Linked DNA regions of Anolis sagrei. The protein of the gene in region 2 purifies or fractionates together with the protein of the main gene of each other region. This does not show direct contact. Links are inferred from orthologs where the notes say so. Each region holds a gene or a part of one and is shown on either strand. Other genes may lie near its edges.

Region 1 (7,636 bases), on a different chromosome or scaffold from region 2:
AAAATGATACGAACTATTAAATAATAATATTTTATTATTTTATTGAATTATTTTTTTTACATCCAATTTAATGTTACTACTAATACACTTCCCAAGATGGAGGGTTTAACTGTATTATTATTATTATTATTATTATTATTATTATTATTATTAAATGTGTATTATTTTCAGGTTTTTTTTTAAATGATACGAACTATTAAATAATAATATTTTATTATTTTATTAAATTATTTTTTTTACATCCAATTTAATGTTACTACTAATACACTTCCCAAGATGCAAGATTTGTGTGTGTGTGTGTATGTGTGTATGTCTATATATATTGCAAGATGAAGGGAATAAACCAGGCTTTGCAATGGGAGGAAACATCCCAAAATAATATCCCAATACTCAGTTCAGTAATAATAATAATAATAATAATAATAAGGCAGGTGTGTATGTGTGTGTGTGTGTGTGTGTGTGTGTGTGTATTGCAAGAAGAAGGGAATAAATCAGGCTTTGCAATGGGAGGAAACATCCCATAATAATATCCCAATATTCAGTTCAATAATAATAATAATAATAATAATAATAATAATAAGGCAAGTGTGTATGTGTGTGTGTATGTATATATATATATATATATATATATATATATATATATATTGCAAGAAGAAGGGAATAAATCAGGTTTTGCAATGGGAGGAAACATCCCATAATAATATCCCAATACTCAGTTCAATAATAATAATAATAATAATAATAATAATAATAATAAGGCAGATGTGTATGTGTGTATGTATTTGTGTGTGTGTATATATATATTGCAAGATAAAGGGAATAAATCAGGCTTTGCAATGGGAGGAAACATCCCATAATAATAATATCCCAATACTCAGAATAATAATAATAATAATAATAATAATAATAATAATAATAAGGCAGATGTGTGTGTGTGTGTGTGTGTGTGTGTTTGTGTGTGTGTATTGCAAGATGAAGGGAATAAATCAGGCTTTGCAATGGGAGGAAACATCCCATAATAATATCCCAATATTCAGTTCAATAATAATAATAATAATAATAATAATAATAAGGCAAGTGTGTATGTGTGTGTGTATGTATATATATATATATATATATATATATATATTGCAAGAAGAAGGGAATAAATCAGGTTTTGCAATGGGAGGAAACATCCCATAATAATATCCCAATACTCAGTTCAATAATAATAATAATAATAATAATAATAATAATAATAATAATAAGGCAGATGTGTATGTGTGTATGTATTTGTGTGTGTGTATATATATATTGCAAGATAAAGGGAATAAATCAGGCTTTGCAATGGGAGGAAACATCCCATAATAATAATATCCCAATACTCAGAATAATAATAATAATAATAATAATAATAATAATAATAATAAGGCAGATGTGTGTGTGTGTGTTTGTGTGTGTGTATTGCAAGATGAAGGGAATAAATCAGGCTTTGCAATGGGAGGAAACATCCCATAATAATATCCCAATACTCAGTTCAATAATAATAATAATAATTGGGAAGTGTCCGACGTGGGATCCAATTCAACAGCCAGCAGAGTGTCTGCTGTCGACTCATCTTGTTGTGTTTCAAATAATAATAATAATAAGGCAGATGTGTATGTGTGTGTATCTAAAGCCAGCACTTTGAATTGTGCCCAGTAACACACCAGCAGCCAGTGGAGCTTGTGCAACAGAGAGGTTGTGTGTTCCCTGAGTGCTGCTCCTGGTTGTAACCTGGTTGACGCCCGTTGGCCCATTTGGAGCTTCCGAACAGTCTTCAAAGGCAGCCCCATGTAGAGCGTGTTGCAGTAGTCTAAACGGGATGTAACCAGAGTGCGGACTACTGTGGCCAAGTCAGACTACCCAAGGTACGGTTGCAAGTTTTAATTGTGCGAATGCTCTCCCAGGCACTGCCGAAACTTGGGGTTCCAGGCTCAGCGATGAGTCCAGGATCACCCCCCCCCCCCAAGTCTGTCAGTGAAATCGGGCGCACAGGAAGGCAGGAACACGATCAATCACGGCCACCTTAGGCTATAAACTACTTTATTTTTACAGCTGTATACATTAGAAGCTACTTAACAGTCAGCACATCGTAAAACTTGCTTCTCACCATCCGATCGTAACATTGTGAGCACACGAACTGCTGTTATCAGTACTAGTCCACACCTCTTTTGCGAACACACGAACTGCTGTTATCAGTACTAGTCCACACCTCTAGCTTTCCATGACGCTGCGTCCATTTGCTCTATACACTTATGACCTCTCTAGGAATGCCCTGTTCGCCCTTGCAACTGACCAGGAGGACCTCTGTCTTGTCTGGATCCAGTTTCAACTTGTTCGCTCTTATCCAGACCGTCACAGCGGCCAAGCACCAGTTCAGGACCTGGACAGCCTCCTTAGTAGCAGGTGGGAAGGAGTGACAGAATTGGACATCATCCGCATACAGATGACACCACACCCCGAAACTCCAGATGATCTCCCCCAACTTCATGTAGATGTTAAACAACATGGGAGACAGTATTGAACCCTGAGGAACCCCACAAGACAATGGTTGTGGGGTTGAACAGGTGTCCCCCAATAACACCTTCTGAGATCGACCCTCGAGGAAGGACCGGAGCCACTGAAGAACAGTCCCTCCAAGACCCATCTCCTTGAGGCGTCCCAGAAGGATACCACGATTGACGGCCGCTGAGAGGTCCAGCAGAACCAACAGGGACACACTCCCCATGTATTATTATTATTATTATTATTATTATTATTATTATTATTATTATTTTCTACCAATTCCAACGGGTGTCACAGGCGAACTCTATTATTATTATTACTGTATTACCTTCTGGCAAGGAAACTAGTCCAATGTGAGCTAGGCAAAACTACGGTGAGGTGGATCAGTAATTGGTTAAGTGGACGAACACAGAGAGTGCTCACTAATGCTTCCTCTTCATCTTGGAAAGAAGTGACAAGTGGAGTGCCGCAGGGTTCCGTCCTGGGCCCGGTCCTGCTCAGGATCTTCATTCATGACTTAGATGAAGGGCTAGAAGGCAGGATCATCAAGTTTGTAGACGACACGAAATTGGGAGGGAGAGCCAATAGTCCAGAGGACAGGAGCAGGATTCAAAACGATCTTGACAGATTAGAGAGATGAATGGCCAAAACTAACAAAATGAAGTTCAACAGCGACAAATGCAAGATACTCCACTTTGGCAGAAAAAACGAAATGCAAAGATACAGAATGGGGGACAATGAGTCCTGGCTCGAGAGCAGTACGTGTGAAAAAGATCTTGGAGTCCTCGTGGACAACAAGTTAAACATGAGCCAGGAATGTGATGTGGCGGCAAAAAAAGCCAATGGGATTTTGGCCTGCATCAATAGGAGCATAGTGTCTAGATCTAAGGAAGTAATGCTACCCCTCTATTCTGCTTTGGTTAGACCACATCTGGAATATTGTGTCCAATTCTGGGCACCACAATTCAAGAGAGATATTGACAAGCTGGAATGTGTCCAGAGAAGAGCGACTAAAATGATCAAGGGTCTGGAGAACAAGCCCTATGAGGAGCGGCTTAAGGAGCTGGGCATGTTTAGCCTGAAGAAGAGAAGGCTGAGAGGAGAGATGATGAGAGCCATGTATAAATATGTGAGAGGAAGCCACAGGGAGGAGGGAGCAAGCTTGTTTTCTGCTTCCCTGGAGACTAGGACGCAATGGAACAATGGCTTCAAACTACAAGAGAGGAGATTCCATCTGAACATGAGGAAGAACTTCCTGACTGTGAGAGCCGTTCAGCAGTGGAACTCTCTGCCCCGGAGTGTGGTGGAGGCTCCTTCTTTGGAAGCTTTTAAGCAGAGGCTGGATGGCCATCTGTCAGGGGTGATTTGAATGCAATATTCCTGCTTCTTGGCAGAATGGGGTTGGACTGGATGGCCCAGGAGGTCTCTTCCAACTCTTTGATTCTAGGATTCTATGATTAATATATTCATTATTATTAGTATTTGGGGCAGATTTTTAACATTTTATATTCAATTATTTTGGTTTTAAATATATTGTAATTATTGCAATATATTAGTATTATTAATATATAATAATATATTATTATAATATATAATAATATGTAATAATAATTATTATATATTATTATGTATTATAATAATATATTATTATAATATATTATCATATATTATCAATAATATTATATATTATCAATAGTATATTATTATGATTTGGGATACATTATTATGATCTATTATTTTATTTATTTGGATATTATTTGTTAATATATAATAATAAATTATTATGATCTATTATTAAGTATTCTAATAATATAATATATAATAATATAATATATTATTAAGTATTCTAATAATATAATATATAATAATATAATATATTATTATATATTATTAATAATATATTATTATTAATATATTATTATGATTAGGGATAGATTATTATCTATTATTTTTATTTATTTGAACAGATATTATTTGTTTATTTATAGTATATCATTTAAAAATATAAATAGGAAACAAAGTGACTTATTACAAAGAGAAACCCAGGAATCAATTCTGCGCATGCGTGGAAAGAGGCCTCTTCCCACTGCTGGCAAAGGCAGGCCGAAGCCCCGCCCACTCTTCATTCACAAGAGAAAGCCCCGGCCACGCCCCTTCCCTGGATCTCCGCTCCCATTGGCCGCCTGGAAAGAAGTCCCCGCCCATTTCGAACGTTCCCCGGGCAAGCCTCTTCAGCCGCTCCTTCCGGGTCACGTGAGTTTTCTTTTGCTGCAAAGGAAAGCAAACCGACCTTATTTTTGCATTATTATTATTATTATTATTATTGTTAAATGCATGGGAAATAAATGTTGAATTAAATAATGAAGTCTTATTTTGCAATGTTTTCCTAAATATTAAGGAGTTAAATATTTAAATTAAAGGATAAATAATATTAAATAATAAATGATAAATAATATTAAATAATAAATGATAAATAATATTAAATAATATTATATATATTAGGTTCTTGTGGGTTTTTTTCGGGCTATAGGGCCATGTCCTAGAGGCATTTCTCCTGACGTTTCGCCTGCATCTATGGCAAGCATCCTCAGAGGTGTGAGGTCTGTTGGAATTAGGACAATGGGTTTATATATCTGTGGAATGGCTGGGGTGGGGCAAGGAGCTCTTCCTTGCTAGAGCTAGGTGTGACACCGTCTACAGAAAACCCACACACACAGATAGATATCTACATCAAAACTCCAACCATCACCCAAGTCAAAAAAGAAGCACCATGAAAGCCTTGGCAGACCGTGCAAAAAGAATCTGCGAAGCCCACCTCCTCCAAGATGGACTGAACCACCTCAACTGGGCTCTCCAGGCCAATGGAGACGCCACCTCAGACATCAGAAGAGCTGCAAGACCACTGAGAAGAAGCCACGAGAGTCAAGACCAAGATCCACCCAGAGGAAAAGTGTTCCTGCCAGACATCAAGGGAACCACTGACCGCAGAGGGAAGCTGATGAGGAAACACAACATACAAACAATCTACAAACCCACCAAGAAAATCCAACAAATGCTACGTTCAGCAAAGGACAAGAGGGATCCTCTCACCTCTGCAGGAGTCTACCATTGTATCCCATGCAGCTGTGGACAAGAAGTCTCCAGAGGGACCCCCAAACGCAGCATTGCCCAGACACGCATCAAGGAACATGGAAGGCACTGCAGACTCCTTCAACCAGAGAAGTCAGCCATAGCAGAGCACCTGATGAACCAGCCTGGACACAGCAGATTATTGGAGAACACAGAAATGCTGGACCACTCTCACAACCACCATGTCAGACTACACAGAGAAGCCATTGAAATCCACAAGCATGTGGACAATTTCAACAGAAAGGAAGAGACCATGAAAATGAACAAAATCTGGCTACCAGTATTAAAAAACTCTAAAATTATAACAGCTAAACAACAGAGAGGAAAAAAACCAGGCACAGATTAACACCTCCCACCAAGAGATTTTCCCAGGCTCAGGCAGGCCTTCAAATGCTAATGAAGGTGATCAGCTAAACATTCACACCTAACTGCAGCAGGGAAGAGCTCCTTGCCCCACCCCAGCCATTCCACAGATATATATAAACCCATTTTTCCTACTTCCAACAGACCTCACTACCTCTGAGGATGCTTGCCATAGATGCAGGCGAAACGTCAGGAGAAATGCCTCTAGAACATGGCCCTATAGCCCGAAAAAAACCCACAAGAACCTAGTGATTCCAGCCATGAAAGCCTTCGACAATACATTATATATATTATATATAAATTATATTATAAAATTATATTATTCAAATATTAAAAATGCATTCAATTAAATGCATTTGCAATTGATTTTAATGCATTCTGAAATATTTGAGTAATTAAATGTTAAATTAAATAATGAAGTTTTATTTTGCAATGTTTCCTAAGTATTAAGGAGTTAAATTATTAATAATATTTAGGAAACATTGCAAAAAATATTTAATTATTCATAATATTTAGGAAATATTGCAAAAAATATTTGATTATTCATAATATTTAGGAAATATTGCAAAAAATAAGATCGGTTTGATTTGAAAGCCTTCGACAACACATTGCAAAAAATATTTGATTATTCATAATATTTAGGTAACGTGAGTTTTCTTTTTGCTGCAAAGGAAATCAAACCGACCTTATTTTTGCAATATTATTATTATTAGTTTTAAATGCATGGAATTAAATGTTAAATTAAATAATGAAGTTCTATTTTGCAATGTTTCCTAAATATTAAGGAGTTAAATGTTTAAATTAAAGGGTAAATAATATTACTTTGCTATATTACTCAAATATTAAAAATGCATTCAATGAAATGCGTTTGCAATTTCTATTATATATTAGATATATTTATCATTACATTAGTATTACATTATTATATTATTTCTTCTATTACTTATATATTACATATTATTATATATTCTATATATTTATTATATTATTGTAAATATATTATTATATTACTTATTCTATTACCTATTATTATTATTATTATTATTATATAAATTAATGCAGTCTGAATTTAATTTAAATATGTAATTTCATTATTATTATTATTATTATTATGTATATAATATTTTCACAAACCCCGATGACATCCAGACATCATGTTATTATTATTATTATTATTATTATTATGTTTATAAGGCCCCCCGGTGGCACAGTGGGTTAAACTGCTGAGCTTCTGAGCTTGTTGACCGAAAGGTCACAGGTTCGATTCCGGGGAGCGCCGTGAGCTTCCCCTGTCAGCCCTAGCTCCTGCCAACCTAGCAGTTCGAAAACATGCAGATGTGAGTAGATCAATAGGTACTGCTCTGGCGGGAAGGTAACGGCGCTCCATGTGGTCATGCTGGCCACATGACCTTGGAGGTGTCTATGGACAACGCCGGCTCCTCGGCTTAGAAATGGAGATGAGCACTAACTCCTAGAGTCAGACATGACTGGACTTAATGTCAGGGGACTACCTTTACCTTTACCTTACTATGCTAATAATATAATATATTGTATGTATATATATTTTGTAAGCCGCTCTGAGTCCTTTTCGGGGTGAGAAGGGTGGTATATAAGTACT
Region 2 (7,507 bases):
TTTACCTAAACACATCTATGTACAGTATAGGTTTATGTAGTTTAAACTGTTTTAATTGAACTTGTTTTAATCATTTTATTTATTTAATATGTCAATAATTTGTTGCATTTTTATCACAATTCTCTTATTTTCAGATTACGTTGTAAACTGTTTTGCACTCCAAACCATGGAAAATTGTATGTTTTAGTTTTTACAAAAAATAAATTGATTACAAGTAACATGTTATTTGTAAATAAACTCTGCCAAGCTTTGAATATATATATATATATATATATATATACATACATACATACATACATACATACACACACACAGAGAGAGAGAGAGAGAGAGCAGGAACCTATGGTTTTGTAGTAGCTTATGGATTGGATGATCCCTTGGAAAAATTAAAGAGATTTATGTTTTGTCACAATGGTGATAGTGGAAAGTTGTGATTTATGATTTTTTTTAAAAAAAACAATGTAAATGAAATGTGATTTGATAGTAGTTTAGAAAGTTCCCATGCAATTTAAAGAACAACAACAACAGTTATCGAAGTGTATTCATTTTAATTATATTGGACCTCACAAGCGGAAAAGAAAAGAAGATTTATAGTAAAGGTAAAAATATACTAGAAGCTTTGGGTGAAAAGAAAAAAAAGCTATTGAACCCAGAGCCTAAATAGTAGAGAGAAATAAGTTCCCTTGATACTGATGGAAAGATCTCTGGATGAGGAAGTTGGGTGTCATTGACAATCTCATGCAGCATTGTCATTTGCTCATGGATTCCTCACAGGACAGATTGAAGCTAAAAAAATAAGTATACTGTCTATAAGCCCATCACATAATTAAATGCAAGTGTAACGTATACAACAATGCTAAAGCCTAATACATAAGAATGTACATGGCAGCAGAAAAAATTAAACAGAGAAAGAAAAACATAATTATAATCCATTGCAGAGATATGTAAAGGAAATGGAAGAAGACATATGAGAAAGCTGTTTTTTAAACAAATTGTTTATTGCTTCCAATAATTTTCCTGTTAGGTTGAAAGATATTTTAAAGACAAAAATGACAAGCAAAATAAAAACAAGAATTAACAAAATGAATATTAAGTTGTATATTTATCAAATATGTGAAGAGATTTATAGCATGCATGTACCTGATTTAAACTCTACAAGTGTATTTGTATCTATTTCATGTTTGGCATTTCCTGATGTCGAGATACGAAGTGGTATAACTTGAGGCACTAGGATGGAGCCAGCAGTCATTTTTTCCTACAATTGTTTTTAAAAAACCAAAAGAAAAAAAACCCATAAATAAACATAGTACAGCAAGGAAAATTTAAGTCAATAAATCCAACTGAAGGATTTATCTACATTACCCCTCTGGGAATAAGGGCCCTTCTATACTGACCATATAATGCAGTTCAAATTTGCCTCCTCAAATTGCAAATTCCAAGACCCCATACAATGTTCCCAGGGTAGTTAAAGTAGAATAATAACATAGTATAATGTCATTAGTTTTTCTACAAGCACACACTGTATATTACACACAGCTAGAATTTTGAACTGTTGGTTCTTTCTGGGCCCTTCCACACAGCCATATAACCTAGAATATCGAGGCAGAATAACCCACAATATCTGCTTTGAGCTGGAATATCTGAGTCCACACTGCCAGATACCCCAATTCAAAGCAGAAAATGTGGGATTTTATTCAGCTGTGTGGAAGGGGCCTCACTCTGCTGCTATTTCTGAACCATGTTAGCCCAGAGAAACATTCTGGAAAACTTTGTATCCTTTGGGACTGACCTAATTAAATAAAAGTTTTCTGAAGGAGTTTAAGTTCCAAAAGGCTGTCTTAAAACCAGATTGAAAGGAATGTAGGGCCCCTTTCACACAGCTGAATAAAATCTCACATTTTCTGCTTTGAACTGGAATATATGGCAGTGTGGACTCAGATAACCCAGTTCAAAGCAGATATTGTGGGATTTTTCTGCCTTGATATTCTGGGTTATATGGCTGTGTGGAAGGGCCCCATATCATTACTATTCAGGAAAACCTAAAGTTGAACTCCTATATTTTCAAGTCACTTGCCCCTAAATTGTGGCCTAACAATTATACGGTTTTTATCCATGGGTTCTCCTCCACTTCTTCAAAGCTACTGGTGTCATACAGCTTCTTTGTGCATTTTATTTTGGGAGCTATGGCATGGCATGAGTTTTTTCAACTCCAAGGAGCTTTGGGAAGCCAAGCAAGCAGCCGAAACACCTTAAAGAAGAGCTTTCCAAAGATTTAATGCTGGTGACACATCTTTTTAGACAGGTATCATTTCATAACATAGTAATTCAGTTTTACTAGCAATCAACTCCTTGTAAGAGACGTAGAAACATACATGTCATAACAAAAATGGGCATTGTTCCATTATCAGGGCAGAAACCATTAGGGGCCACGAGAGAGAGGATACTTGATTATATGGGGGGTGGACAGTGGGTTGAAGGAGTAAAGTCATCCCTCCCCTTTTCCTGTTATTCTGCCCAACCCTCCTTTATGATATGGGAAGCAGAGAGGGGAAATAATCTCCAAAAACAGGGGAAATTATTTTCGTCCTTCAACTCCTTCCCATAAAATGAAGTATCCTTCTCTCTCTAGCAGCCTCTAATAGCTTCCACCTGGATAATGGAACAGTACCAAAAATGTATGGAAATACAACGTACCTCATGAAACTTGTAATTTATATATAAGAAATATATGATTTATTGCTTATTTTATATTGACCCAGAGGTTTTCTCTTCTGTTCACATGACAAACCTAAATTCTGAAGGTGATGCATGAATGTGTCCCAACACAGTTTGGAAACAGATATTGTGAGATGATCTGCCTTGATATTCTAGGTTATATGGCTGTGTGGAAGGGCCCTCATATAACCCTGTTCAAAGCAGATATTGTGGATGATCTGTCTGGATATTCTGTGTTATAAGGCTGTGTGAAATGGCCCTCAGATAACCCAGTTCAAAGCAGATATTGTGGTATGATCTGTCTTGATATTCTGGGTTATATGGCTGTGAGGAAGAGCTCTCTGTTCAAAGCAGATATTGTGGATGATCTGCCTGGATATTCTGTGTTATAAGGCTGTGTGAAATGGTCCTCAGATAACCCAGTTCAAAGCAGATATTGTGGGTGATCTACTTTGATATTCTGGGTTATAAGGCTGTGTGAAAGAGTCCTCAGATAACCTAGTTCAAAGGAAATATGGTGGGATGATCTGCTGTGATATTCTGGGTTATATGACTGTGGGCCCTTCCACACAGCCCTCTATCCCAGAATAATAAAGCAGAAAATCCCACATTATCTGAGTGTGCTTAGATAACCCAGTCAAAGTAGATATTCTGGAATATAGGGTTGTGTGGAAGGGCCCTGGGCGAATAACTGTAGCGTAGACCTTAACTTTTGAGTTGTTCAGGCATTTTTGAGTCATACAGAATGCCTGTAGTTTGTTGCCTTGTTTCCTTCTCTCAGCTGCTATTTCTGAGCCATGTTAGCCACACACAATATATAATATTATATGTATATGTATATGTATGTGTGTGTATATATATATATTTATGACCATCGTGGCATTGAATTGTGCCAATTGTAAGCCGCCTTGAGTCGCCTCCCTTCTATGAGAAAGGCGGCATAGAAATGTTAATTTTTAATTTTTGTATGTATGTATTTTATCTTTTATAATTTAGCTGTAAATCGCCTAGAGCATTCTCGGATGGAGAGCGATTAATAAGTTATTAAATGATGATGATGATGAAATGCCACAAATAAATAAATAAATAAAAATTGTTCATAACTTAGGGTCCTTCCACACAGCCATATAACCCAAATATTAAGGCAGATAATCCACAACATCTGCTTTGAACTGGGTTATCGGAGTCCACACTGCCTTATATTGCAGTTCAAAGCAGATAATGTGGGATTTTCGAGTTGTGTGGAAGGGGCCTTAGAGACTGCCTGTATTACCATTGACGAGTTCTAACCCACTTTGACTCTGCCCCTGAGCAGCAGGCCTTGGTCTAACCTGCCTCTCATTGCTTTGCTGTGAGGACAACAAGGGCATCACCCCCTTCTTGGGAAGAAGGCTCAGCATACAGTTCCATTAAGAAAAATCCCTTTATCCTGCAAAATCCACGCCCCTCCCTTTTCCCCTCCACTTTCCACGTCAGTCTCTGATTCTCAGAACTCACCGCCTGGCTGGGAGGCAAAGCAGAGTCTGCGACTGGCTTGGTCTCCGTGGCAACCGCAGCTTTCTCTGGGCGCAGCCTGTTGACGTCATCTGAGCGCGCCGCTTGCCTGACGCCGAATCGCCCACAGTCTGCATGGTCGGAGGAAGGAGAGCTTTGAGTGATGGCGGAGTTGAAAGCCCCAGAGCCCTTGGAAATCGAAAACAGGTGGGCAGGACAAAGTGTTGAGGGCCCTTCCATGTAGCTGACTAAAATCCCACATTACCTGCGTTGAACTGGAATATATGACAGTGTGGACTCAGATAATCCAGTTCAAAGCAGATATTGTGGGATTTTCTGCCTTGATATTCTGGGTTATATGACTGCATGGAAGGGTCCTAGAATAAAGGGAAACAAGGCTAAAGAATTGGAATGTAGTGGTGATAATAAGTGTATAGTGACTACTGTAAGAGTGTTTGTGTGGAAATGTTAAGGTGCCTGTATGCCAGTGGTTCTCAACCTGTGGGTTCCCAGATGCTTTGGCCTTCAACTCCCAGAAATCCTAACAGCTGGTAAACTGGGATGTGGCTGGGATTTCTTGGAGTTGTAGGTCAAAAAACCTGGGTACCCACAGGTTGAGAACTACTGCTGTATACATTTATGCAGCACATATAATACTATGGGCCTTTCCAGACAGTCATATAATCCAGAGGATTGTAGCTGTTTAATCAGGTTCATAGAAAGAGATGCGGTACTTCAAGTAACCTTGACCACTTCCTCAGCAAATATTGCTGCAGTTATATATGTTACAGTCTTAGCTTTTCCACAATTAACACCAATGTTCAAAATAAGTACTATTATGTAGTCTTGGGCAGTATGCTAAAACTTGGGGTGATAAGAAAAGTAGGTCCTTTTCAAGCAGGCCCTATATCTCAGGATCGGATCCCAGGTTTTCTGTTTATCCCAAATTATCTGATACAGTGTTGACTCATATAATCCAGTTATAGCAGAAAACCTGGGATCAGATCCTGGGAAATAGGGCCTGTCTGGTAGAGCCTTTACGGTGAGGGATACTGGAGGTGTGAACTCCTAAGGCAAGAACTGCTTTCTTTTGTACAGAATTAACCAATAGAGACAGTCAATGTATGACAGGGGTAAGAGCAACGGGACTCTTTTCTTGATCATTGTTCTTTATATTAGTTTTTGTTGTATTTGTGTGTGCTTACTGTTTATCACCACTTTTAATAAAAGGTGGGGTTTCTGTGTTTTAAATAAAATACATTGGCTAATGCGTTTTTGAGTTTTGTGTGTGGTGATCCCTTTTTATTTTTATTTTTTTGCTATTCCTACTTTGTCTAGGATCATTGAGCTTTGCCATCAGTTTCCTCATGGCATCACAGACCAGGTGATTCAGAATGATATGCCTCACATGGAAGCTCAGCAACGAGCCATGGCCATTAACAGACTGCTCTCTATGGTAAAAAGCCTATTAAGTTTGCATGAAAGTATGTCTTCAAAAATGCTGGATAAAATATAGTGGTTTATTATACTTCCTTTTAAAGTAGCAGTTCTTCTGGGTCTGCAAACTGATAGAACAGCTGTTGGTTCTATCTTCTGTCTCTTTATCTGTCTCTTTATCAAAAGGAGCATGCCACATTACCATTAATTCTAGCACACCTAAATCTTTGGTTTTTGTTTAGGATTGTTTTTATATTATACTAGCTTGGGGACCCGGCGTTGCCCGGGTTATTAGAGAAAGTGGGTAATGGCGGTTCTGTATGCCAAGTTTGGTCTTTATTGGTCTTTGGATAATGGCAGCATTATTTTCAGGAAGTGAGTGAAGGTACTTGAAGTCCCATCATCCATGGGCCATCCTCCTACAAACAGCAGCAGGATATAGAGTGGGTCATGGGGGCTTTGTGTGCCAAGTTTGGACTTTATCAGTCATTAGATGAGGGTGGCAGTGGTGTCAGTAAGTGAGTGAAGGTATTGCAAGTCCCATCATCCAAAGTCCATCCCCTTTCAAATTGCAGCAGGATGTAGAGTGGATCATGGGGGCTCTGTGTGCCAAGTGTGGTCTTGATTGGTCATTAGAAGGGGGTTGCAGCAATCTTTGGAAGGGAGTGGAGGTACTTGAAGTCCCATCATCCATGGTCTGTCCTCCTCCAAACTGCACCAGGATGTAGAGTGGGTCATTGGAGCTCCATGTGGCAAGTTTAGTCTTGATTAGTCATTGGCGAGGGTCTCAGTGGTCTCAGGAGGTGAGCAACAGTACTGCAAGTCCCATCATCCATCTCCAAAGTTTTCCAAATAACACCAGGACGTAAAGTGGGTCATGAAAGGTCCATGTGCCAAGTTTGGTGTTGATCCGTCATTGGATGAGGTTTGCAGAGGTCTCAGAATGTGAGTGAAGATACTGGAAGTTCCATCATCCATGGTCCACCCTTCTCCAAAACTGCAGCAGGATGTAGAGTGGGTCATGGGGGCTCTGTGTGCCAACTTTGGTCTTGATTGGTCATTAGATGAGTTTTGCAGTAGTCTTGGATAGTGGAGGTACTTGAAGTCCCATCATCCATGGTCTGTCATCCTCCAAACTGCTCCAGGATGTAGAGTGGGTCATTGAAGCTCCATGTGCCAAGTTTAGTCTTGATGAGTCATTGGCGAGGGTCTCAGTGGTCTCAGGAAGTGAGTGAAGTGACTGCAAGTCCCATCATCCATTGTCAAATTCTTCCAAACCGCACCAGGATGTAGAGTGAGTTATGCAGGCTCTCTGTGTAAATTGTGGTGCTGATCCATCATCGTTGGCAGTTGTAATGGTCTTAGGAAGGGAGTGCAGGTAATGCAAGTTCCATCATCCATGGTGCATCCTCCCTCAAACTGCACCTGGATGTAGAGTGCGTCATGGAGACTCAGTGTGCCAAGTTTGGTATTTATCGGTAATTGGATGAGGGTTGCAGTGGTCTGAAGAATTGAGCAGTGGTACTGCAAGTCCCATAATCCACGGTCCATCTCGGCCAAACCACACCAGGACGTAAAGTGGGTCATGAGAGGTCTCTTTGTGAAATTTGGTCCTGATCAGTCATTGGATAAGGTTAACAGCGGTCTCAGAATGTGAGTGGTGGTACTGCAAGTCCCATCATCCATGGTTCATAGTCCTCCAAACTGCAGTAGGATGTAGAGTGGGTGATGGGGGCTCTGTGTGCCTATTTCGGTCTGTATTGGGAGTGTTCTGACCCAGCCACCGGCCTTTCCTTTCCTCTCTTTCTCATCTCGGAATGTTGGAATTGAGGCTGGCCAATCAGAGACCATATGCAAATTT
Region 3 (7,690 bases), on a different chromosome or scaffold from region 2:
ATCTGTAAGCCGCCCCAAGCCCCTTTGGGGAGATGGCATGGGATATAAGAATAAAGTTATTATTATTAGAATTATTTGGAATATAAGAATAAACTTAATCAGCAACTATTTTAACCCAAACAAAAAGCCTGAATTATAATGATGGGTTGAAATTGCTAATAATATTTATGTGAGGAAGCGTTAATGCCACCGCTTGTCTCCAAAATTATGTGAAGAAGTCTTTATCCCACCAAATGGGATTACCAAAAATATAAGGAAGTCCCTAGACTGCTATTAAATTAAACTGCCACCAATAAAATGTAAAGACGCTGGTCTTAAAGTCTCTATTTACTCCTATTTGCGTTGTGAGGTAACTTTGGTAGAGTGGAATACACCGAACATAAAATCAATGGAGGAGGCAGGTTTAAAATAACAAAGAGAACAAGTTTATTATTAACAAAGCGTAATTGTTGTAATATTGAGATGTTGAACTTGGCACATGCTTGTTGGTTACAATATGGCTTGGCTGTGATACATTCAGGCTTTAGATGTTACAATTCTTATAAACTCCTTCTACAGTGAAGTGCTTTATTATTTCAGTGTTCCTAATTGTGAACATTCACACTGTTTGTCCTATACCGGATCAAACCACTGAATCCCCAGTCTTCCACTACTGGCGATCCTAAAACCCCCTCTGTTAGATTCTTTTTACTCAAGCAATCTAACGAGGTTTCCCTTCAGCTACCTTGCTGAAGAAATATTCACAATCACTAAAACTAACTGAATGTACTGGCTCCATAAGCAGAACTGAGTTTTCCCCAAAGCCATGCAGTGGTTCTCAACCTGGGGTCCCCAGATGTTTTTGACCTACAACTCCCAGAAATCCTAACAGCTGGTAAACTAGCTGGGATTTCTGGGAGTTGTAGGCCAAAAACATCTGGGGACCCCAGGTTGAGAACCACAATTAGTGGCACATATAATTCTGGAATGTGCACTGTGGCATCAGAGCTCTCAGGCAGAGAAAGCGAAAAACCTCACAAATCCCAGAAATCTACAGCATTCATATCAGTTAAAAATACTATCAAAGTGCTATAATTGTGCAGTGTGGCTATATTCTTAGAACCATTTATCTGAGGAACAAGTCACACTTAACTTATGACTTCATCACGTTAGAGAAAAAATCCACTTAAAATTCTGCCTCCTGCAGAATTCTGGAGTTTGTAGTGAGGCTGTTAAAGGCCCCTCCCTAAACTACAAACCCCAGAATTCTACAGGAAACGGATTTTAAGTAGATTTTTTTTCTCTAGTGTGATTAGGCCCTCAGTGGGATTTACTCCTGAGTATATACATATTGAGTTGCACTGTGTAGTTGATTTATTGGGAAATAAAAATACCTCTATTGCAGGCCTGGGCAAACTTGGGCCCTCCTGGTGTTTTGGACTTCAACTCCAACAATTCCTAACAGCCTCGGCCCTTTCCTTTCCACCTACCTGCGTGACCGCATTTCCGTATACGAACCCACACGATCCCTTCGTTCATCTGGTGAGGCCCTGCTCACGATCCCACCAGCATCACAAGCGCGATTGGTGGGGACGAGGGACAGGGCCTTCTCGGTGGTGACCCCACGAATCTGGAATTCCCTCCCCAAGGACATCAGTCACTCCCCAACACTGGTAGTCTTCAGAAAGAGCTTGAAAACATGGATGTTCCAGTGTGCTTTCCCAGATTAAGGAATCCCAAGCAATTGTCCCTAATGCACTTTATGAGAGAGTTAGAATTGTCTGCACACCCTTCTATTCCCAAAATATCCATTCTACCTCACCTGGACAGGCCCGAATTTTTAGAATTTTAACTATTACATTTGGCCCTGCCACAGGTTTTTAACAGTGCTGTGCTTTTGTTATTGTTTTATTGCTTGCTTATTTATTGTTGCATTGCATTGTTGTCTGTTGTGTTTTTGTTAATGATGTACTTTGGGCTCGGCCTCTTGTAAGCCGCACCGAGTCCTGCGGGAGATAGTAGCGGGGTACAAATAAAGGTTTATTATTATTATTTCCCCCTTCAGCCACTTAATGAAGGGCCCTGAGGCTGGAAGTTGAAGTCCAAAACACCTGGAGGGCTCAAGTTTTCCCATGCCTGCTCTATTGGCTTCCTCGAAAAAGGACAAGGGGCCATGTGGTGCATCTATACTGTAGAACTAAGGGAGGAGGGAGCAAGCTTGTTTTCTGCTTCCCTGGAGACTAGGACGCGGAACAATGGCTTCAAACTACAAGAGAGGAGATTCCATCTGAACATGAGGAAGAACTTCCTGACAGTGAGAGCCGTTCAGCAGTGGAACTCTCTGCCCCGGAGTGTAGTGGAGGCTCCTTCTTTGGAAGCTTTTAAACAGAGGCTGGATGGCCATCTGTCAGGGGTGATTTGAATGCAATATTCCTGCTTCTTGGCAGGGGGTTGGACTGGATGGCCCATGAGGTCTCTTCCAACTCTTTGATTCTATGATTCTATAATGCAGTTTGACACTACTTTAACTGTTATGTCTCCATGCTATGGAAACACAAACGTTTTCTTGTACACGGTATTTCTTCTGACAAAGAGGGCTGGTGCCTCACCAAACTACAAATCCAATGATCAGTTAAAGTGGTGTCAAGCTGCGTTATTTCTCAAGCATGGCTGCATCCAGGAAAGGAGCACCAGAGGTTGTTGTGGCTCTACTACTGCGCATGCGCACTCTAGGGCTGAGTGAGCAGCCAGGCATGCCTTGACGCTTAGCGCATGCGCACCGTGGACTTCGGAAGCCACATTTACCCCTATCCCTTGGGCAGAGCCGCTTCTTTCTTTCCTTCGGATGCTCTCGCCATTCTCACTCACCTCCACCGTGTTTACAGGAGCCGCCAGCTGCTCCGGAGTGGAGGCTCCCAGCTCTGCCACCAGATCGTCCATGCTGGAGAGAGAAAAACAACCGGCAACAGCCAGAAAGTTGGCGCATGCGTAGTCCCCGCCTTCCACAGAGCTATGCGTGTGCGTCGCTGAAACCTGACCGGAAGTGCAACTGAGGACGTCCAAAAAGGTTCCGCCACGTTTCCTAGAAGCCTTTATTTATTTATTTATTTATTTATTTATTTACTTTGCTTATATACCGCTGTATCTCAAGTCCGAAGGCGACTCACAGCGGTTCACAAACAGTAAAAACAGTAGAAACAGCAGTGGTTCCATACAACATATAACAATTGACTTAACACATTATCCATAAATTACCAATAAGCAATTACAATGCACAATTATTACAAAAAACAACCGTACCCAATCTTCTCATCATCCAAGCGTAGTCCAGGTTCGTCGTCCATTGTTCCATTCCTATGTTCCATTACCAGATTGCACTAAATTACTCAAACGCCTGCACAAACATCCAGGTCTTCAACTTTCTTCGGAATGCCATGAGAGATGGCGCCAGCCTAATGCCTGTAGGAAGGACGTTCCACAGCCGAGGAGCCACCACCGAGAAGGCCCTATCTCTCGTCCCTGCCAACCGTGCTTGAGAAGCCGGCGGGATCGAGAGCAGGGCCTCCCCGGAAGATCTCAAAGTCCTGGTGGGTTCATAGGCCGAGATGCGGTCGGAAAGGTATCTTGGGCCAGAACCGTTTAGGGCTTTATAGGCCAATGCCAACACCTTGAATTGAGCCCGGTAGCAAATCGGCAGCCAATGGAGCTGGCGCAACAGGGGGGTTGTGTGCTCCCTGCGCTCCACTCCGGTTAGAATCATGGCTGCCGCACGTTGGACTAACTGAAGCTTCCAAAACTCTTATTTACAGCTAACTATATTGTTAAAAGAATTTCCTATCCGAATGGTTTCCTTCTGCTCTACCTGAGGGCTTCTTTCTTGACAGTATTTTGAAGAAAGCAGAAATTCCAGACAAGAAACAGTCAGGGCCTCCCAACAAAGGATTCACCCCAGGCAGGAAGCAACCAGGTTTTGAAGCTGCAAGGCCATTCAGTGCTAATCAAGGTGACTAATTTTATTTATTTATTTATTTATTTATTTGGGGTGCTTCTACCCCGCCCTTCTCAACCCCCTAGGGGGGGACTCAGGGCGGCTTACAAAAGGCACAATTCGATGCCCAACAACTCACAAAATACAATATACAAAATTACAATATAACGTCAACAATTATAACTAATTAAAACAATAAAAAACAATACAGTTGCAGCAATAAAATCATCTTGCGGTCAATGTTCGCCAATTCATAAATTCATGATCCGTCTAGCATCGTCATTGTCCTTTCCTACTTTGGTCGTCATTGTATTTTGTCCAACTGCCAGCTTACCCAAAGGCCTGGTCCCACATCCAGGTTTTTAACTTCCTTCTGAAGGAGAAGAGGAATGTTGATGACCTAATCTCCCCAGGGAGTGCATTCCACAGGCGAGGGGCCACCACCGAGAAGGCCCTGTCCCTCATCCCCACCAGTCTCACTTGTGATAAAGGTGGGGCCGAGAGCAGGGCCTCCCCAGAAGATCTTAACCTCCGAGGTGGGACGTAGAAGGAGATATGTTCGGACAGGTACGCTGGGCCGGAGCCATAAAGGGTTTTGTAGGTCAAAACCAGCACTTTGAATTGTGCTCGGAACTGGATTGGCAGCCAGTGGAGCTGAAACAGCAGGGGGGTGGTATGCTCCCTGTATGACGCTCCGGTGAGTAATTGCAACATTCCCACTTGCCTCAAGCAGACGAGAGTTCTTTCTCCCACCCTGGACATGTCACAGACATAAATCCTACTTGCCTAGTTTCCAACAGACCTCACAACCTGTGAGGATGCCTGCCATAGATGTGGTGAAGCGTCAGGAGAGAATACTTCTGGAACATGGTCATACAGCCCAGAAAACTTACAGTAACCCAAAGCAGAAATTATTGCAACAGAGGATAGAAATGTTCTTGGAATTATTTGGATTGGGGAATATCAGTGCAGTTATGTGTAGTTCAAAGTATTGTAATAATTTTTAATTATTTTAAGGGATTTTAATTTTCTGCTTCAATTCTATTTTAATATTTGTATGTTGTAGTTTTTGTTTGTTGTAGTTTATGTAAAGCCGCTTTGAGTCTTCTCAATATAATAACAATAATAAAGTATTTAAAACTCGTGTCTTGTGTTTAATCTCTGTTCTGTGCATTTTAATATGTATTTTATAGAAATATATTTTATTATGTGCATATACAGAATGTTTACAATGTTTTTGTGTTTTAACTATGCTGTAACCTGCCTCTAGGAGCCCCTGGTGGCACAGTGAGCTGCTGAACTTGCTGATGAAAAGGTCACAGATTCAAATCCGGGAAGCGGCATGAGCTCCTGCTATTAGCCCTAACGGCGCTCCATACAGTCATGCTGGCCACATGACATTGGAGGTGTCTATGGACAACACCAGCTCGAGCACCAATCCCCAGAGTCGGACATGAGCTCCTGCTGTTAGCCTCAATAGTGCTCAATGCAGTCATGCCGGCCACATGACCTTGGAGGTATCTACGGACAACATCGGCTCTTCGGCTTAGAAATGGAGATGAGCACCAATCCCCAGTTGGACACAACTAGACTTAATGTCAGGGGAACACCTTTACCTTTAACCTGCCTCTAGCCTCAAGGAGAGGCGGGTAAGAAATAACATTATTATTAATATTGTTATTAATGTTGTCTCAGATAAAAATGGGAAATTATAATAATACAGTAACACCACTTACCAACAATTTGCAGAATTACTTATTGGAATAATAGCCTGTATATTTTCCCCAGTTTTGAGGGAAATCTGACTCTCAGATTTCATTTGTGACTGTGCATTTTTTTGGATTTTTAGTTAGTTATGATTGCAGGCAACTGCTTTTTGCTTTTTTCCTAATTAACTGAGAGTGGGATGAAAAATTAATTTGACAGGTGAATCACTTCCCATTGCTGAATTTCTGTGCCAAAAAAGCTGGACCTGTTTGGAGGAAATATAACCAGCTCCCCACATTTGTTGGGGCTTGCAAGTGAAGTGGAAACTACAGCAGCGTACCATGCGCAGTGAGTCTAGAGCTTATTTAAGAGCAATTAAGGTGGCAGAAAAATCATTTATTGCCACCAACATTACATCCACAAAGACTTGCCCAATAGAACTGTTTCGAATGGTAAGGGGGCTTCTAAACTCTTTCCGGACCAATCGGCAGTTTGTTGTTAAGAGTTTGCTAGGTTCTTTGCAGATAAAGTCACTCTGATCCGCTCTGACTTACACACCAGTATTAATGCAGTCTCCGTGAATATGAATGAGGCATCTGCTTGTCCTTGTTTAATGGATTCTTTTCAGCTTGTTTGGCCCGAGGACATGGACAAGATCTTAGGAGAAATGAGGACAACCACTTCTTTTTTGGACCCTTGCTCCAGCATGAATGGAGGAAATTCATTAAAGTCACACTGGAGCACCTAAATCTTCCTACAAATAACACTTTTAATCACATTTCTGAATAATCAAATATGAAGAAGCCAGAACTGCAAATGTAGAGAGCATGCAGTAGTTTTAAGTGGTGGTTCAAACAGAAAAGGTACCATAATTTGGGGTCTTCTAGAGCACTGCTTCTTAAACATATAGGGTCCCCTTTGCTCAATATTGGGGTCACAAAAATTTGGCAACAATACCACCCATTTACATGAATCTGTTAGCAACAACCTACAGTGTTTACAGTGGACTCTGCAAAAAATGCTTCAGCTGTTCTCCAGCCTGTTTCACAAGCCTTTGGGACAGTGCAATAGGGCAATAATAGGAAACCCACTCCACTAACTGGAGCCATCATGGTGTTCTGAGATGGTTTTTAAGCAACTGATTTTAAAGTAGATATAACTGTTTGTAGTGTTTGTGTATATTTATAGTTATTTTATGTTCCAGCATGGAATGCTTGCCGTGTATACGTTGTGAACTTCCCTGAGTCCCCTTTGGGGTGAGAAGGGTGAAATATAAAGATTTCAAATAAATAAATAAATACTTTAAAAGTCAAACGGAATTTAATTAATACAGATATCAACACAAAAATAAGCCAGTTACATAACAATACCTTGCTTTCATTGAGCCCTGGTAGGGCTAGGGCGAAGGGAATGGAGTTAAACATATTTGGATAATTTCACCACGCAACATGCAAGAGGGACAAATTAATTGTACTGATTAATCTGAACATTGAAAAGATTATGAACATTAGAGGACATGTACAGATTGCTAAATGGACATACCATGCTATATAAAATGCCCTTTTCAAGTCATAGATAAAATCACAAAATTATTGCTTCCTCATAATATTCTTCCTGAAAGTTTTCCAAAACATACTGAATTCAGACTAAGTTGTTTGAAATTTATCACTGTTGAAATCAGTAGGACCCAACTATGACAACTTTGCTTGAATTCAACCAAAGCTAAGAAAAGTTACTTCTTTGGACCAAAATGCCAATAATTCCTTTGCCACCATGCCCAAAACACCTGTGAGATTCTGTGAGTAGTACTCTTTTTTTTAAAAAAAAAAGTTAAGGTGTCTATCCATCTCATAGCTTCTCAGGTAATAAGAAACTGTTGGAAAGTATTTTTTTACTGCACTTCATCTCCCTGCATTCATAGTGTTTTTTAAAAATCAAAGGAATACATACACACACACAACCCCACAACAAAATCATTACAGTTAAGTTTCTCATAGATATTTATAACATCACCCA
Region 4 (7,941 bases), on a different chromosome or scaffold from region 2:
CTTCTTATAATACAATCTGAAATATTCAAGTTAGAATAAAGAAGAAACAGTTTCACTACGTTATTAAAAATTCAGTTAGAAAAACCTATCCTTCATTATTTTAATACATATAAACATAATAAATATAGTTATAAAAATCACACAATGCCAGCAACACTATTTTATCCCATTACCGGGAGAAGAAAAGTTTGCTTTTTACCGGATTTCTGAAGAGTGATATAAAATCAGGTTTATGCTTCTTTAAAATCTGGTCAAGAATATGTATTGCTTCAGGTTGCCTTTTCCAAATGGCATTAACAACTGCTTGCCAAATGTCTTTGTAGGGTCCCCATAAACTGGCAGCTAAAAGCAAAATAGACAAAGCAAGAAAAAAGCAAGATATTTACCACAAGTGAATATTATGATTAAACATTATTCATGTGCAAAAATATTTTACAGAAAAATATTTAAGATAAATTAATTAATTTTTTACAAAAGCAGCAATCAGCTTAGTGAACAGAGACAGGAAAGCAAAAGAAAAGTCCCTATGTGGGTAATCATTTATTTGATAACATAGAATCATAGAGTTGAAAGAGTCTTTGTGGGCCATCCAATCCAACTCCCTCCCAAGAAGTAGAAAAACTGCATTTATTTACAATATTTATATGCTGCCCTTCTCACCTTGAAGGGGACTCAGAGCAGCTTACAATATGTAAATACAATATATTATATTATTACCATAGCACAATATTAATATTATATATTACTATATTGTACTATAACATTATACTGTAATATTATTCGTAGTACTATATTGTATTACATTATAATAGTATCAATATTATATGTATATACAATATATTATATTATATTATATTATATTATATTATATTATATTATAAGCACAGTGCAGGAGACAAGATGGAAATGCCTTCCTGGCCCCTCTCTTCACTCTGATCTCAGAGCAGCAGTTGGTGCTGGGGGGGAGCTCACATTCAAAGCACACACACACACATTCAAAGCAAGCCCACCAGTATAAATAAGTTGTAAACTACAAAAAATGCATGCCACAAAATATTTGTTGGTTTTCCACCAAATGGGAGAATACTAAGGCGCATATTTACATCTCAGGAAGATTTCACCTGAACATTAGGAAGAACCTCCTGACCATAAGTTTAAAGTCTTATAGTTATATGATTGATAGCTATAAGTTGTAAGTAATTATGTTTGTTAGATTTTATTTATTGTGATTTGTTTGTTTAATTTTCTGCTTGTGTGACTGTTATCTTGTATTCTGTGTTGTAAGCTGCCCCAAATCCCTTTGGAACGAGGGGGAGGGATATAAACAAAGCATTATTATTGTGATTATTATTATTAGAGCTGTTCAACAATGGAACTCTCGGCCTCAGAGTGCGATGGAAGCTTCTTCCTTGGAGACTTTTAAACAGAGGCTGGATGGGTTGCTGTAAGTTTTCCAGGCTATATGGCCATGTTCCAGACGCATTCTTTCCTGATGTTTAACCCACATCTATGGCAGGCACCCTCAGAGATTGTGAGGTCTGTTGGAAACTAGGCAAGTGCGGTTTATATATCTGTAGAATGTTCAGAGTGGGAGAAAGAACTCTTGTCTGCTTGAGGCAAATGGGAATGTTACAACTGATTGCCTTGATTAGCAATGAATAGCCTTGCAGCTTTAAAGCTTGGCTACTTCCTGAATGAGGAAATCCTTTCTTAGGAGGTGATTAGTTGGCCCTGATTATTTCTTGTCTGGAATTTCCCTGTTTTTGAGTGTTGTTCTTTATTTGCTTCCCTGCTTTTAGTTTTTTAATAGTGTTCGCCTGACATTGCTCATTTTCATAGTTTCCTCCTTTCTGTTGAAATTGTCCACCTGATTGTGGTGGTTGGGATGCTTTGTTTGTGCATGACAGAATGGGGTTTGCCTGGATGGCCAATGCGGTCTAGTCCAACTCTTATGATTCTATGAAAACACATTCATGCAGCATTTTGTTTTTTCTTTAAGTGGCTGCCAGAACCTATTCCTTTTTTTAAAAAAAAATATTTATTGTAGTTTTACATATTCAGTGTTTAAACATTCTTATACTTATCACTTCCCCTTAACAAATTGTATACAGAAACCTATTCCTACTCTTCCCTGCCTCTGGTATCAAAGTTGCTGCTAAAGAAGTAAGCTTAGGAATGTATTGCCTGTCCTTAGAAAACTATCATTCTATTATCTTACAATTCTATTTTATTAATACCACTATTCCTCCGTGCTTCTCTCTGAATCGAGGAGACCCAGAGTGGTTATACCAGGCGTGGGCAAACTTGACCCCTCCTTCCAGGTGTTTTGGACTTCAACTCCCACAATCCCTAACAGCCTCAGGACCTTTCCATTCCCCCCTAAGCCACTGATTCTCAGCCTGTGGGTCCCCAGTTGTTTTGGCCTACAACCCAGGAATCCCAGCCAGTTTACCAGCTGTTAGGATTTCTGGGAGTTGAAGGCCAAAACATCTGGTGACCCACAGGTTGAGAACCACTGCCTAAGGCTGTTAAGGATTGTGGGAGTTTCCAAAAGTTTGCCCCTGCCTGATCTACACTGTTATGTAACTGCACTGGGTTATACTCATGTACTTAGGAGCAAGCCCCATAGAACTTGGCTGCTGTGGGTCTCAGGCAGTCCTCCACGTTCCCTTCCACGGCAAAGAGTGGCGCAGGGCCCAAAGACAGGGCAAGGCAACCCCAAAACGATGCCGCCCCGTCCCCGAATGAGCCTCAGGCCAAACTCGGGGCTCTTCTCACCTGAAATTACCGCCAGCGGCGCCGACATCTTGGAAACTCGCGAAGGGGCTTCAAGGCGCCCTCGCTTCTCAGGGGCCTAGAGCAGGTAGAGGTGCCCGCGATCTGCCGGATCAGGAAAAAATCCTCTCTTCATAGACAACTCGGCTAATAAATGGCAAATGCATATTATCAGCGTTTTCCATTATTTTAGCCACATGTAGGAGGGTAGTGCTTTAGTCCATTACGACAAAAGCGCTCAAATTGCACGACCGGAACGCAGGCACGATTTAGACGCCTAAGATCGAAACATGGAAAGAACTTTGGGGTTTGTAGTTCTAGGCCCAGCGGGAGAAAAAAGGGCGGGAAAGTCGAAATAGAAACCCTTTTTTTGCGGAAGAGGAAGCTTCTTGAATCTATCTTGGCAAGGAAACCCGTGATAGGGTTGCCACAGGTTGGAAACTGCTTCAGGGTACACAACAACAAGGCCTTGTTGAACAGAATGGATTGATGTCATGTCCAAAGCTTTCATGGCCGGAATCACTGTGTTGTTGTGAGTTTTCCGGGCTGCATGGCCATGTTCCAGAAGCATTCTTTTTTGACGTTTTGCCCACATCTATGACAGGCATCCTCAGAGGTTGTGAGTTCTGTTGGAAACTGGACAAGTGGGGTTTATATTCTGTGGAATGTCCAGAACTCTTGTCTGCTTGAGGCAAGTGTGAATGTTGCAATTGGCGACCTTCATTAGCATTGAATGGCCTTGCAGCTTCAAAGCCCGGTTGGTTGCTGCCTGCAGGAATACTTTGTTTGAAAGTGTTAGCTGGTTTAACTTTTCTGAGTATTCTGCGGATATTCAAGTCCTCTTATATACAGTGGCGTAGAAAATTGACATCCTTTATATAAAACATCCTAAGTGGTTCTCAACCTGGGGTCCCCAGATTATTTTGGCCTACAACTCCCAGAAATCCTAACAGCTGGTAAACTGGCTGGGATTTCTGGGAGTTGTAGGCCAAAAACATCTGGGGACCCCAGGTTGAGAACCACTTGTAATGTTCGTTTGTGGGATTAACATAACTCAAAAACCACTGGACATATTGACACCAAACTTGGCCACAAGACACCTACTAACCCAAGGAGTGACCATCACTCAAAAATTTTGATTTAGTCATTTGGGAATTGTAGTTGCTAGGATTTATAGTTCACATACAATCAAAGAGCATTCTGAACTCCACCAACGATGGAACTGAACCAAACGTGGCACACAGACCTCCCATGACCAACAGAAAACACTTGAAGAGTTTGGTGGACATTGACTTTGAGTTTGGGAGTTGCAGTTCACTTACATCCAGAGAGCACTGTGGACTCAAAAAATGATGGATCTGGACCAAATTTCGCAGGAATACTCAATATGCCCAAATATGAACACAGATGGAGTTTGTGCAAAATAGACCTTGACATTTGGGAGTTTTAGTTACTGGGATTTATAGTTCACCTACAATCAAAGAGCATTCTGAACTCCACCAATGAGGGAATTGAACCAAACTTGGCACACAGAACTCCCACTGCCAACAGAAAATACTTAAGGCCATCCAGTCCAACTCTCTTCACCAGGGCAAGAAAACGTAAACAAAGTCCTTTTGACAAAGAGCCACCCAGTCATATGATTCACGCGCATAGTATAGATTTGAAAGGGACCCCTAAAGAAGGACAATTATATGTTGCATGTTCCAGAGTAGGCAAATCAGACAATCTCCACATCAACACTGACAAAGAAACAGCAAGAAATACTGTTTACTAACAAGCATAAAGAAATTACATATATTAGAAATCAACACTTTCTCATTACTTTATTGTCCAGATCACCATGCTGGGCCACAGCAACGCCTGGCAGGGGACGGCTGGTATAAAATAAATGTGTACTTTTCGGATTTAAAAAAATATGGTCAGGCCATGAAGGCTTGGGTAAAGGATCTGTGAACACAGGAGGGTGACTTGTTCCCAGCGCTCCAAACTACAGCTCCCACCATGCACAGCGTTTTCCAGTGTTCTACTTCCTCTTCGTAGCCTTGCTGTTTGCCGCGCATGCGTGGTGCGGTAACCCGAACGGATGTTTATCGCCTGCTGGAGAAGGAGAGGGTCGCGTGGCGAAGCGGTTGTGGGTGAGTTAGATGCATTTCTGATTTCCAGGGATATAATCGAAAACAACGGAGAGGTGCTCTAGGAAAGATATGCTTCCATCTTTGGAGGGTCTTCTGTTCTGTTGGGGATGCTGACTGCTTGTGTGGATAGAAAGCCACTGCTGGCTTCAATAAACTACCTCAAAGCAGGCCTTTGCAAGTTGTAACTGATGGTAGAACAGGTATAACACACTTAAGCGGCTGAGAGGGAAAAGGAAGGGGCCTGAGGCTGTTAGGAATTGTGGGAGTTGAAGTCCAAAACAGCTGGAGGGCCCAAGTTGGCCCATGCATGTGGTAGAACAGTGGTTCTTAACCTGTGGGTCCCCAGATGTTTTGGTCTTCAACTCCCAGAAAGCCTAACAGCTAGTAAACTGGTTAAGATTTGTGGGAGTTTTAGGCCAAAACACCTGGAGACCCACAGGTTGAGAACCACTGTGGTAGAAGATCCCTTCTGTATGTCCTTTCTGTGGTTCTGGGCCTCAAACTACTTCCAGTTGCAAATTCCCTTCTAATGTAACCAGTAAGAGAAGAAGCCAAAACTAGGAGAGGCTTCTTCTCCAATGCAGAGCCAACCTAAAGAAATGGGACTACAAAGTGGAATCCACAACATGCGAGTGTGGAGAAGAGCAAACCACAGACAAACCTATTACAATTCAGCCTGAGCCCTGCCACATGCACAATGCAGCAACACCAGGGGCACTCCAAGTGGCCAGATACTGGTCAAAGGACATTTAATCAACTACCAAGCTTGCAAACTTCGTGTTTTGTTAAAAAATGCAATGCAACTGTTTGGTTTGCCCCTGATACGATAAATAAATAATACCTAGTACAACATTCAGTGTTCCTCACAATTGTAGTTGCAGCCTGACAACATTTTGAGGAGTCACACAATTCCTACCAATGATTTAAGCCTCCTTCCACCAGTATAAAATCGAAGGATAAGCTGATCTTATATTTTGCTCAAGTGTTGGCGTTTTCTTCCCTTAGACCACAATTAGAACTTGCCACTTTCTTCTCCAACAGCTATCACTACAGAAAGGAGAGTCCTCTTGCTGATTTTCCCTTCTCCCCAGGAGCATTGTTTTTGCAAGTTATCATGTTTGTGTTAGTGGAGATGACAGATACTGTGCGAATCCCTCCATGGCAGTTTGAAAGGAAGCTTAATGATGCCATCACTGAAGAGTTAAATAAGAAACTGGCCAATAAGGTAAACTTTGCATGGTTTGTCTCACTACTATACTGTCACACAGATTCTAAAGACAGTAAACTTTGGGTGTATACAAATAATATGTGTATTTATTTGCTTAATCTGTTTTAATTGTTTATTTGTTGGAATACGTTTTTATGACTGTGTCTATATGGCATTGAATTTTGCCAGAGCTGTAGGCCACCATGAGTTCCCCAAAGGGGTGAGAAAGGCAGTGAACAAATAAAGATTATTATTATTATTATTATTATTATTATTATTTACTGCTCCATCTTACATATGTCAAAGGCAGATTATTCCCAGTTAAGCGAATGAAGGATTGTGGACAAATGTCGTGTGGACAGTCATGGTGCTGTCTCATATATTTAATGAATGTAGCTGCAATGCTAAAATTATACACTGTAAAGTCGCTGATTTTGATCAATATAAATTTAGTATCTTTTCACTAGTTACATTTAATATGTAAATGAGCTCCCACATGACATGAAATAGAAGAGTGAAGAGATGTTGAAAATAATGAGAAATTGATAAGGAGACTGGCTACTCAGAAGTATGAACCTTCATTTCCCCCTTAACCACCCCCTCTGTTATCATTCTTTCTTGTTCTTGTAGCGTTACTTGCATATTTGAATTATTTTTATCTATCCAGTTATAGATCCGTTCACCAGTTTGGTTTGTTGGTACAGTATTCCTTGTTCTGTTTCAAGGGGGCTAACACATCTCTTCCAAAGTATTCAACTTCATTGATTTTTGGATTTATTTCTCTAAACAGGTTGTGTATAATGTTGGCCTCTGTATTTGTCTCTATGACATTACAAAGCTGGAGGACTCCTACATATTCCCAGGAGATGGTGCATCACACACAAAAGGTTTGCCTGTTGTTTTCCATGTCAATTATTTTTGGATCTGACAACTATGGATCTTCAAGACTACCCTCTAGGCAACATAATAATTTCTGGGTAACCACAGCACTCCATATTTTTTTATTATAACTCTGTTGTGCTGATACATAATACAGCTGGAAAGCACATTTTTGTGGCATACGAAACTGAAAAAATTATGTTCATTCTCCTTCATCCTTGGTACCATTTTTGCTTAGGACAGGTTAAGGTACCATTTCTGCCATGCTGTATACATTTTCTCATTTAATGCTAGCATTCTCACACTTATACACTTGTTCCATATTCTATCTTGATGTTCAATCTGTTAACAAACTGGCTTATGCTCATTTGCCTTGCAAGTACAGCTGTAATTATTTATTAGCTGCATTTATACCATGCTTTTTCTCGTGCTATACAATGTTGCTATGCTAATTTTGTGCACATGTATGTTTTGACAACATACAAGTGAAACATTTATCTAAGGAAAATCTGCTTCCTTCTTTATAGTGCATTTTCGGTATGTGGTGTTTCATCCCTTTCTTGATGAGATTTTGGTTGGAGAGATAAAAGGCTGCAGTCTAGAAGGAGTTCATGGTAAATTTTAATTTTTATTAAAATTCTAGACCTGTATTCAGATATATCTGTGGGGGGCCTGAAGAGAGAATTAACATCATGTTATACCCTAATGGCTTCTGTGTTAATCTGAATGTTCTTCTTGCAGTTTCCCTTGGGTTCTTTGATGATATCATCATTCCTCCAGAATCTCTGCAGCAGCCTGCCAAATTGTATCCTCCATGATAATAAATGTTTTAAAAATCCATTATATTTATTATTTAAATTACCCGTATAAGCCGGGCTGAATATAAGCCAAGGCACCCATTTTTAGCACAAAAACTGGGAAAACGTATTGACTCGAGTATAA

Evidence for each region.
Region 1: the proteins of POLR3F (region 2) and POLR3GL purify together in Homo sapiens (co-immunoprecipitation; 5 studies listed by BioGRID and IntAct, counting the BioPlex papers as one, with this or other methods). This does not show direct contact. The link is inferred for Anolis sagrei from reciprocal best matches to the Homo sapiens genes POLR3F and POLR3GL.
Region 3: the proteins of POLR3F (region 2) and POLR3B fractionate together in Homo sapiens (co-fractionation; 4 studies listed by BioGRID and IntAct, with this or other methods). This does not show direct contact. The link is inferred for Anolis sagrei from reciprocal best matches to the Homo sapiens genes POLR3F and POLR3B.
Region 4: the proteins of POLR3F (region 2) and POLR3H purify together in Homo sapiens (affinity purification with mass spectrometry; 4 studies listed by BioGRID and IntAct, with this or other methods). This does not show direct contact. The link is inferred for Anolis sagrei from reciprocal best matches to the Homo sapiens genes POLR3F and POLR3H.

What each region holds. Positions count from the first base shown.
Region 1 is NC_090032.1:21,351,574-21,359,209, reverse strand, and holds the start of POLR3GL (DNA-directed RNA polymerase III subunit RPC7-like), read left to right. Parts: upstream 1-4,573; 5' UTR 4,574-4,587; coding exon 4,588-4,779; intron 4,780-7,636. UniProt on the Homo sapiens protein: DNA-dependent RNA polymerase catalyzes the transcription of DNA into RNA using the four ribonucleoside triphosphates as substrates. Specific peripheric component of RNA polymerase III which synthesizes small RNAs, such as 5S rRNA and tRNAs.
Region 2 is NC_090024.1:133,272,974-133,280,480, forward strand, and holds the start of POLR3F (DNA-directed RNA polymerase III subunit RPC6), read left to right. Parts: upstream 1-4,292; 5' UTR 4,293-4,372; coding exon 4,373-4,416; intron 4,417-5,547; coding exon 5,548-5,665; intron 5,666-7,507. Other genes in the region: DZANK1 (double zinc ribbon and ankyrin repeat-containing protein 1), read right to left, coding at 1,141-1,249. UniProt on the Homo sapiens protein: DNA-dependent RNA polymerase catalyzes the transcription of DNA into RNA using the four ribonucleoside triphosphates as substrates.
Region 3 is NC_090025.1:169,715,446-169,723,135, forward strand, and holds the start of POLR3B (DNA-directed RNA polymerase III subunit RPC2), read right to left. Parts: upstream 3,001-7,690; 5' UTR 2,920-3,000; coding exon 2,848-2,919; intron 1-2,847. UniProt on the Homo sapiens protein: Catalytic core component of RNA polymerase III (Pol III), a DNA-dependent RNA polymerase which synthesizes small non-coding RNAs using the four ribonucleoside triphosphates as substrates.
Region 4 is NC_090025.1:157,995,052-158,002,992, forward strand, and holds the start of POLR3H (DNA-directed RNA polymerase III subunit RPC8), read left to right. Parts: upstream 1-4,718; 5' UTR 4,719-4,836; coding exon 4,837-4,913; intron 4,914-5,954; coding exon 5,955-6,138; intron 6,139-6,910; coding exon 6,911-7,007; intron 7,008-7,526; coding exon 7,527-7,613; intron 7,614-7,740; coding exon 7,741-7,804; intron 7,805-7,941. Other genes in the region: nuclear pore complex protein Nup205, read right to left, coding at 200-342, 2,779-2,806.